2 linked regions of the Oryctolagus cuniculus genome follow. The protein of the gene in region 2 purifies or fractionates together with the protein of the main gene of each other region. This does not show direct contact. Links are inferred from orthologs where the notes say so. Each region holds a gene or a part of one and is shown on either strand. Other genes may lie near its edges.

Region 1 (4,852 bases), on a different chromosome or scaffold from region 2:
TCTCAACATTCCCAATTTTGAAAACTTCATCGGCCAGAGTGGCAGAAAGCAGCTGGGATATGGTACAGGGCACAATGTGCTGGGCTCGGGCTCTCTGCAAAGCAACGTGTGCATAAATTCAACTAAAAGTATAGTGATGACCACGCATTTAACACCTGCCACCTGCCAAACACATTAAATAAATTGGAACATTAAACTTTCTCTAAAAAAATTTAAACAATTTACTTTCATTTTATTTGGAAAGCAAATAAAGAACTTGAGAAAGAATCTTCCGTCCACTGACTCACTCCCCAAATGCCTGCAATAAGCAGAGCTGGGCTGGGCCAAGGCCAGGAGCCAGGACCTTGAACCAGGTTTCCCTCATTGGTGGTAGGGACCCAAGTCATCCGGGCCATCATCCGCTGCCTCCAGGGTACACATTAGCAGGAAGCTGATACAGAAGTAGAGTCAAGACTTACACACAGGCACGAGGACAGGATGCAGGCGCCCTAGGCAGTATCATCACTGCTACCCCAAATGTCCACCCTGGACACTGAATCACAGGGATCACATAGCTCACAAATGCCACATCTGAGAATTCAAACCTGGGTTGTTCTGACCTCAAAGCTCCCACGGAACAGGTAAGTTGGAGCCACAGGGAGGACTCAAGAAAATGAGGTCAGCGGGGCGCCCAATCCGGAAGAGCCGCTGCCAGAACAGACCTTAACAGAAACCCCAGCTTGGAGGTGAAGGCAGGCTGGAGGTGGCAGCCGGTCACTGAGGAGATGGCACTGGGAAGGGTTTGAGAAATGGCCGGCAGAAGTAACGCTTTGGAACTGGTCTAGATCTCATAATGAAAACCTAACAGAAAGTTGGAAGTACAGTTTCCTTCAGGGCAGATGTGTGGCCATCAGAAGGAGCCCCTGATGCTAATGGGTTAGGAGCCTGGCCGCAGTGGACACTCAGTGAGGAGGGACAGCGTGGGGTGAGAGTGTCTAGTGAGGACACACGAGTCACACCCTAGAGCAACCTGACAACAGTGTAAACCCTCATTTTTGTCTACCACTGCCAAGGGAACGACAGGGTGACAAAGATGAAGCAGGTGGGAAAGGATTTGCCTTCAACACACCAACCAAGGGAGGTACAAATCCAAACATAAACCTCATCTTTTCTTTTTTTAGCATTATTTATTTGAAAAGCAGAATTACAGAGAGGGAGACAGAGAAAGAGGTTTTCCATCAGCTGGTTCACTCCCCAAATGACCACAATGGCAGAGCAAGGCTGATCCAAAGCCAGGAGCCAGGAGCTTCTTCCAGTCTCCCATGTGGTTGCAGGGACCCAGGTACTTGGGCCCTTCTACTGCTTTCCCAGGCCACAGCAGGGAGCTGGCTAGGAAGTGCAGCACCCAGACTCGAACCAGTGCCCATATGGGAGGCAGATGCCGCAGGCGGAAGCTTAACCTTTTATGCCACGGCCGGCCCCCAAACCTGATGCACTAGGGTGTGACATGTGCTACATGGCATCTCAGAAAACTGTATTGCCGATTTCAAGAAGAAGGAACGTCAGGGCTGGCCTCTGAAGCATTATGACACTGAGAGAAACAGTGAATAAGGAATGAGCACTAGAGGCTGGATGCAAGGTGCACCCCCACGGTCCCTGAGGGCACATGCGCAGTAACCACAAACACCACTGAGGAGCAAGAGTTCTAGGGGGGGTGTTGCGGTGCAGCATCCGCTACCAGTCACGGCTCAGCCCCGGCTCCTCCACTTTGAATACGGCTCCCTCCTGAAGTGCCTGGGAAGGCGTGGGAAGGCAGTGGAAGATGGCCTAAGTATCTGGGCCTCAGCCATCACCCAACTGGTGTCAATAGCCAGGGCTGGGCCAGGCCGAAGCCAGGAGCCAGGAACTCCATCTGTGTCCCCACCTGGGTGGCAGCACCCTAAGCTCTTGGGCTATCTAGCATCTGCTGCCTCCCAGCATGTATCAGCAGGAAGCTGATCAGAAGCGGAGGAGCTGGCTAGAACTTGCACTCCGATATGGGACGCAGGCATCTCAGGCAGTGCCACACCACCTGCCCTTCGTGGTTTTTTTTTTTTTTTTTTTTTTTTTTTTTGACAGGCAGAGTGGACAGTGAGAGAGAGAGACAGAGAGAAAGGTCTTCCTTTGCCGTTGGTTCACCCTCCAATGGCCGCCGCGGCTGGCGCGCTGCGGCCGGCGCACCGCGCTGATCCGATGGCAGGAGCCAGGAGCCAGGTGCTTTTCCTGGTCTCCCATGGGGTGCAGGGCCCAAGCACCTGGGCCATCCTCCACTGCACTCCCTGGCCACAGCAGAGAGCTGGCCTGGAAGAGGGGCAACCGGGACAGAATCCGGCGCCCCAACCGGGACTAGAACCCGGTGTGCCGGCGCCGCTAGGCGGAGGATTAGCCTAGTGAGCCGCGGCGCCGGCCACCTTCGTGTTCTTTTTAATAATATTCGCTTAAGGGGTCAGCACTGTGGTATAGGATTTGTGCCGCCATCCCATATGGCCACCGGTTCGATTCCCGGCAGCTCCACTTCCGATCCAGCCCTCTGCTGTAGCCTGGGAAAGCAGTGGAAGATGGTCCAGGTCCTTGGGCCCCTGCACCCATGTGAGACCCTGAGGAGGTTCCTGGCTCCAGTTCGACGCAGCTCCGGCCGTTGCGGGCAATTGGGGAGTGAACCAGCGGATGGAAGACCCCTCTCTCTCTCTCTGCGTCTCTTTCTCTGTGTAACTCTGACTTTCAAATAAATAAATCTTAAAAAAAAATAATATCCGCTTAATAACGGGATATTAATCCCAAGCGAGAATGTTTACGGAAAGCGACTGCAAGACGCCGACGACATGCCAAACCGACCCCCAGGAAGGTTCCGAGCGTTCGTGCCCCTAAAACTTAACAGCCACGGGGAGTAACTCCCTAATCAGATCCCGCGTAACACCGCTCCGTCGCCTCCCAGGGATCGGCTAGCGCTTCGGGACAGGACAGGACAACACAAGCCCCTTTCAACCTACCGATTTCTTTTCGGCCTGAGAGGGCGTGGGCGACCCGAAGCCGCCCGGCGACTGCGTGTAGCCCCCGGTTCCCCCGTAGCTGGAGCTGCTGAAGGTCTCGTAGGAACCTGGCAGAGAACAGCAGGGGCGTGAGCCCCACGCCGCCGGCCCAGCCCCCGGCACCTGCCGCTGGCCGAGCCCCCAGGACCCCCGACCCCCGACCCCCGACGGCGCCCACCTCCGGCGCCCGCCCCTCCCCCTCCCGCTCGCCTGGGCCCCAGGCGCGCCGTCCCGCGAATCCTGCGACTGTCCCCCTCCGCCGCGTCACCCATCGTTACTATTCCACATCTTGGTCTCGAAGCCTTCGGAACAGAGGACCAGGAAGTTCCAGTCGAACGGGCTCGCAGAGCACCTCAGAACCGAGTTGCGGCGGCAGCGCGGTGTCTACTTTACTCTGGCGCCACAAACTTCTTCCCGCGAACGACGAAGCCAGTCACCTTCCAGCACGCTTCTCGCTTCAGCCAATCAACACCCACGGACCTTACGCTTTCTCCCATCGTCTCAGGCCAGGCCTCGGAAAACGCGCACTACGGCCCAACTCGCGCCGGAAGCCCCTACGGCCATCTTTGTTATGGGTAGAATTGGAGGCGCGCAAGCGCAAGCCTGGATCTGCGGGATGCTGATAGGACAATAGCTCAGGGAGACAACCAATTGGAGCCGGCGTTTGGATTAGCGGTTAAGAAGGCGGTTGGAATGCCCACATGGCAAATCAGAGTGCTTCTGGCGTGGAATCCCGCCTCCGCGCCTGAGTCTGGCTTCCTGCGCGCACCAGGAGGGGCGGGGCCTGTTACTTAACTGGGCACCTGCCGCTCACCTGGGAGACCGGCATTACATTTTTGGCCTCCTGACCGTGGCAGGCAGCTGCTCTTTCTGTGTCTGTTTCTCTTGCTTTCTGCATATCAAAAGATAAAATAAAACTTAAGATACTTTCTTATCCAAGAGTTTGTCTCACTTCCGTCAAGCTCGCTCCTCCTTCCGTCACTTCCTTTGTTCGGTGCCCTCCAGTTCCCGCCAAACTCCTGCCAAGTCACCACGTATGGGACGACGCTTTAAACTAACTCCTGCACGCCTAGCTGTGCCCTCGCAGTCCTAACCCGGCACCTCGTGTGGTTGCTCATTTTTTCCTCGTATAATTAATTATCTTTCTGTAATGCCACTCCTTGGTCCTGATTCTCCCCTATATAAGGAAGCGGCACCCTTCTACCTTTGATGCCGCCTTTTTTTTTTTTTTTTTTTGGAAAGCTTTTATTTAAGAAATATGAATTTCATAGGTACAGCTTTTGGATTATAGTGGTTCATCCCCCCATACCCACCCTCCCAGCCCCACTCCTGTCCCACCACCTACTCCCTCTCCCATCCCATTCTTCATTAAGATTCATTTTTAATTATCTTTATATACAGAAGATCAACAGTTTGCACCCACACAGACACACAAAGATAAAGTACTGTTTGAAGACTAGTTTTACCATTAATTCTCATAGTACAACACATTAAGGATAGAGGTCCTACATGGGGGGCAAGTGCACAGTGACTCTTGTTGATTTAACAATTGACACTCTTATTTATGAAGTCAGTGATCACCCGAGGCTCTTGTATGAGCTGCCAAGGCTATGGAAGCCTTTTCAGGTCACAAACTCCGACATTATTTAGACGGCCATAATCAAAGTGGAAGTTCTCTCTTCCCTATAGAGAAGGGTACCTCCTTCTTTGATGGCCCCTTCTTTCCACCAGGATCTCACAGAAATCTTTCTTTTTTATTATTTTATTTTATTTTGTTTTATTTTATTTTATTTTTGACAGGCAGA
Region 2 (5,734 bases):
GCCATCTGATGAGTGAGGCAGCAGATGGAAGACCTCTCTCTCTGTCTCTACTTCTCTCTGTAACTGTCTTTCAAATACATAAAATAAATCTTTAGAAAAAAAAAAGTACTGGATAATCTCTAGATTTAGGAGTTGTTGAATAAGAAAAATAAAGAAAGGAGAAAGTAAAGCAGCTATGAGCAGTTTCACCTGTTGGGTTCATATTTCTTAGTAATAATTAGAGGTCTAAAAGGATAAATGCTATTAGAGTTACTAGATTGCTATGTGTTGAATAACTGATTTAAAAACTTATTTCTATTCCACTTAAGCAGTACGACTGAAATTAAAGTTAAAAAAAACTTGATGATAGTTGTATTACAGCAAATAATTTAGCCATCATAATGAACACTCTTAAAATAACCTTATATTTATATTGCTATACAGTTTATAAATAATCTATTTAATTTAACTTACATGATCCAATGAAGACAATAAGTAATACTTCTGGTTTATGGCTAAACAAACTGAAGATGTGAGAGTTTATGTAACTCATCTATAGTCACACAGCATAAGAAGCTTAAAAAACACTATATCTAAAACCAGTGCTGCTTCAGTGATTTTTTTTTTTTTTTTTTGATAGGCAGAGTGGACAGTGAGAGAGAGACAGAGAGAAAGGTCTTCTTTTTCCGTTGGTTCACCTCCCAATGGCCACTGCGGCCGGTGCCATGTGGCCGGTGCACCGCGCTAATCCGAAGGATCTTACATATCAGTATGTGGTAAGATCAGTTTTAATAAGAAAAGCTGTACTATAGATAGTAAACAAATACCAATCACAAAAGAAGTCGTAAAAGTTTAAATTTGTATTAAATGTCTTATTATTTTAGTAGCTTAAAAATGATACAACATATGAATACATTTATGACCAAAAAAATCAAATTCTAGCCAAAAATCAATAAATTTAAACTTATACTTATAAAAATGGTCAGCCCTCCATGAGTCCAGAGCCACAGATTCAGCCAATCACAGACTGAAAATATCTGAAGGAGAAACAACTGTTTTTTGTACTGAACATGTACAAACATTTTTCTTTACCATTTTCCCCCTAAACAAGACAGTATAACAACTATGTACATAACACTTGCCTTAGTATTAGGTTACAAGAAATGTAGAGATTTAAAAGTACCTAGAGGAATGTACCTAAGTTATATGCACACTCTATGCCATTTTATATAAGGAACTTGAGCATCTTTCGTATTTGGCATCTGTAGGGGTTCTAGAATCTATCCTCAGTTCTTACTGTGATTACTGAGGAAATACTGCTACTATCAACTTATATTATGTTCCTTTACTCAAAACATGCATTTCAGAAACAGAAAAGGTGAAAGTCATCTTTGCCGTACTGTTTTTGGAAAAGAAAATGTAAAAAAAAAAACAACATTTTTCATATAAACAAATTAGAGGATTTGGTGGTACTTTTCACTGTTATAAAATAAACTACAGAATTAGTAATATTTACCTGAGGAGCAATTCGATTAACAATATGTGAAATCTCATCACTATCTGTGGTGTAAATCTGTTTTTTTCTTCCTTTACCTGAAGAAACAAAAACATTTCTATACATTTTAAACAAATAAAAAACACATTTAAAAATAGCTACTACTTTCCAGAAAATGATTTTTATTAGCATAGTTTGTGTGACTATGCTTTCTGACATCACATAAACAGAGATAAAATCATATATCATTCTCAAAACCATCGCAATTCAAAAGTTCCTGACATTACTTGATTGAAAATCTAGTTACCTCCTAATCATTTATCAAATACTGATGCACATAAAAAATGTTAATGACAAATTACCTAACTGTTTTGTCATTGGAGAATTCTGATCCCAAAAGATATCATTCTGTCCATCTGGATCATTAGGAGAACTGAATGTAGAAGACAAGTCCATTTTCAGCATTCTTGTTGGTGTCTCATATCTTTCTATATAAAATATGATTAAAATAACAATTGTTGCATTTTAAAGCACCACTCCTGTACTTCAATATACCCCAAAGTCAAAAAGTTGCTTAGACTCCCTTATGGTATAATGTAAACCTGTCTCCCAGAAACAACTGCATTATTTTAACTACAATTGAAATGTCTCTTTCAAAATCAAATTTGGGGGCCTGTGTTGAGCTACTACCTACAACACCAGCACCTCATTTGGGAGCTGGCTCCAGTCACAGTTGTTTCACTTCTAAGTTAATGCACCTGGGAAAGCAGCTAAGAATGGCCCAAGTGCTTGGGGCCCTGCACCCACAGGGAAAGCCTGGATAAACTCCTGGCTCCTGGCTTCTGTCTGGATTAGCTGCAGCCATTGTGGCCCTTTGAAGAGCGAACCAGTGGATGGAAGATTGATCTCTTGCTCTAACTCTGCCTTTCAAATAAATAAATCTCTCTCTAAAAAAAAAAAAAAAAAGAAAAAGAAAAGAAAAGAAAAGCAAATCTGACTTTGTAAATGGTAAATATCTTTAGATAACCTAGTACCTTTATGAATGAATAATACTGTATAACAAAACCACTCCATTTATTGGCGTGCTCCAAGCATTGTGGAACCACCTGCAATTTGTAGATATTTTAAAATATCAGAAAAATATCTCAACAGAAACTGTGTAGCCTTCTTTCATTAACTCTTCCCAACCTACATTAATCATTTCAAACACTGGAAGTTTCACCTATAATCATTTAAATTTCAACAAAGATTCGTTTTCGTTACTTTAATGGGAGTAAATAAAAGTAATGATACTTCTATTTTAAAAACACACTATAGCAAAAGGCTTTTGTATGAGTTCCAGTTTATAACATTTACTAGAAATCATTTTAGATAGGACACCCCAAAGTAATCAGGTTGAAAGGAGCCCTCCGGGGGTTCCCACTCTGAGGTAATTTTACCCACAGGCACTTCCGGTTTATTCCCAACGAGGAGACGCAGGCCAAGGCTTTGAAGAGACCAGCCCCCTGTGTGACTCCCTCTCTGAAGCGAATTAGGACACACAAGTTTAAGAGAAATAATTCCCCTACGAATAAGCTGAGCGTAACAGCCCTATCGCGTTTCTCCAGCTCCGCCACAGCTGGTAACTGGAAGAGCAGCCTAGTAATTAGCCGTCCGCCCCCGAACAGGTAAACCCCACCACACACTCCCGTGGCGGGGACGAGGGGGTGGCCAGCCCTAACTGGGCGGTGCTCAGCCTCGGGGGGAAAAGCCGTGGAGGAGAGAGACAGGGTTCTTCTGGGGCTCGCAGGGGAGAAGCCCAGAGAACACGCAGTGCCAGAGCCACCCCCACCCCCAGTTTGCCGGTGACAAGCGGGGCTGTGGGACTCAGCGCCGCGGCCCAGGCGAGGCGCACTGCCGACGTCTCACCCTTGGGGGTACTTTTACTGCACCCAGCGGCTGCTGGACGCTGCTCTCGCTGCCGCACTGGTGGGCCAGGGCCCTCTCCAGCCACGCGGGACCGGGAGCCGCGGGCCGACTTCAGCCGCCTCCTCCTGGGTTCGACCACCGAGCCGCAGTCCTCAGCCGCCGCTGTTTTGAGCGGCGTGTTCTTCGGGGCAGGACTGTCCCCATATTTCCTTCGTCGACTCATGACTTGCGACCCCCCTCCACCAGTCACTTCTTTCACATTTTGTCACGGGAAGAGTAAAACAACGGCCCTTACAAACCGGAATCCCCGCCAAAGGCCGCCGCCATTTTGGCCGGTGGGGCGCGCGTAAGAGGCGGCCGCTGATTGGCTGCATCCGGACGAGGGGTGGAGCTTTCTCAGCCAAGCCCGGAGCTTGCTTCGGAGGCGGGGTCTGGGTTCAGACTCCTCCGGGTTGGAAGTGATTGGCTGAGCGGTGGTCCAGCCCGGCTAGCTGAGAGTGAGAGTTTGTATGATGGGAAGAAGGTTTAATTCGCTAACAACTGTTTATTGAATTTACAACTATAATTTCATATGAATTAGATTCAGATTACTGTGGGTTTTAGTATTTCTCAAGAAGAGGAAGTATAAGGTATAGATTAGGAAGAAATTTTATATACTTTACATAACTATTATAAGGTGCATGGGAAAATTAAGAAAAAAACCTAGGAAAATAGTGAAAGATTTATGGATTTGAAAGGCAGAGTGAGAGAGAGATCAGTCTTCCATTTCCTGGTTCATTCCCCCAAATGTCCACAACAGCCAGGGCTGGACCAGGCCTAAGCCAGGAGTCAAGCAGTCAAGAACAATTTCTGGATCTCCCATAGGGATGGCAGGGACCCAAGTACTTGAGCCATCAAGACTGCCTCCCAAAGTGTTTATTTAAAAGGATGATGGATTGGAAGACGTGGGGGGGACTCAATGCCAGGACCTCACACTGGGGATGCAGGCATCCCAAGTGCTGACTTAACCTGCTGCACAGCAACATCTGCTGATGAAAAATTGTTAATAAATAAACAGACTTGCTGGGAACTCAATCAGTATTCAAAGATAACTGTGTTTCAATGGATTAGTAACAAATATGAAACTAATTTTTTAAAGAAACGTGATTTATATTCCAATGTCAATTCTTCCCAACTTGATGTACAGATTCAGTACAAATTTGTTCAAAGTCTCCAGCAAGGACATTTGTGTGTATGTGTCTAATGTGACAGATTTATTCTAAAATGTATATGGAGATGCAAAGGGCCAAAAAATATCTCAGAATCTCTTGAAGGTCTCTTGAAGAATAATGAAGTAAATATCAAGACATTATGTAAAGTTAAGGCAGTGTTATGATAAAACAATATACAAATACATGAAAGAACAGATGGTCCTAAAACATACTTCCACATTAATGGATATTTGCTTTAAGAGAAAGATAACCCTCCTGAGCAATGGCAAAAGGGGTTTTGAAAATAAATAGTGCTTGGGCAAATGATGTGGCACATTGGGTTAAGCCTTCTAAAAGGATGGCTACATGCCATATCAGAGTGCCTGGGATTGAGTTCCACCTCCTCACCTTATCCAGCTTCCTATTATTGTACAATATGGAAGGCAGCAGATGATGGTCTAAGTACTTGGGTCCTTTCTACGCAGTAGAAGACCCAGATGAAGTTTGTGGCTCCTGGCTTTGGATTGCTCGAGTCCTAGAGTCCTAGGTGATGTGGGCACTTGAGGAGTGAACTATCAAATGGAAGATCTCTCTTTTTCTCTCTCTCTGACATATTGATATGCAAACATACAGTCATTCTGCCTTTCAAATAAATAAGTAAATAAGTAAACAAACAAATATACTTACAAAAAGGAACATTCTCATATAAAAAATAAATTATGCTTGGATCATTTGATGTTCACATGGAGAAATAAAGAATTGTAATCCCTACTTCAAACTGTATTCCCAAATCAAGTGCACATTAATTATAAACACTTATAAAAGAAAATATTTTATAAGCTGATGTAAATTATTCTCCTGACAGAAAATGAATTTTAAATATATAAAATTGTCAATAAACAAAAAGGAAATAATTATAAATTTGACTACATTATACTGATAACTTGAGAACTTCTGCCTATCCAAAGACATCATTAAGTAGAGTGATAGCAAAGGCACAGATTGAGAGAAGATATTTATAAGATGTGTAAGGAAGGGCCCTTAGATAGGATTTACAAGTGTAAAGAACTATGTTGTGGCACAGCAGGTTCAGCTGCCACTCAGGATGCCTGCATCCCATATTGGAGAGCATCCTTCAAGTCCTGGTTACCTTGCATTTCCT

Evidence for each region.
Region 1: the proteins of ETAA1 (region 2) and RPA2 purify together in Homo sapiens (affinity purification with western blotting; 4 studies listed by BioGRID, with this or other methods). This does not show direct contact. The link is inferred for Oryctolagus cuniculus from reciprocal best matches to the Homo sapiens genes ETAA1 and RPA2.

What each region holds. Positions count from the first base shown.
Region 1 is NC_091438.1:143,723,921-143,728,772, reverse strand, and holds the start of RPA2 (replication protein A 32 kDa subunit), read right to left. Parts: upstream 3,652-4,852; 5' UTR 3,336-3,651; coding exon 3,326-3,335; exon of another isoform or gene 3,320-3,325; coding exon of another isoform or gene 3,316-3,319; intron 3,116-3,315; coding exon 3,009-3,115; intron 95-3,008; coding exon 1-94. UniProt on the Homo sapiens protein: As part of the heterotrimeric replication protein A complex (RPA/RP-A), binds and stabilizes single-stranded DNA intermediates that form during DNA replication or upon DNA stress.
Region 2 is NC_091433.1:135,239,518-135,245,251, forward strand, and holds the start of ETAA1 (ewing's tumor-associated antigen 1), read right to left. Parts: upstream 3,749-5,734; 5' UTR 3,606-3,748; coding exon 3,383-3,605; intron 1,963-3,382; coding exon 1,837-1,962; intron 1,573-1,836; coding exon 1,496-1,572; intron 1-1,495. UniProt on the Homo sapiens protein: Replication stress response protein that accumulates at DNA damage sites and promotes replication fork progression and integrity.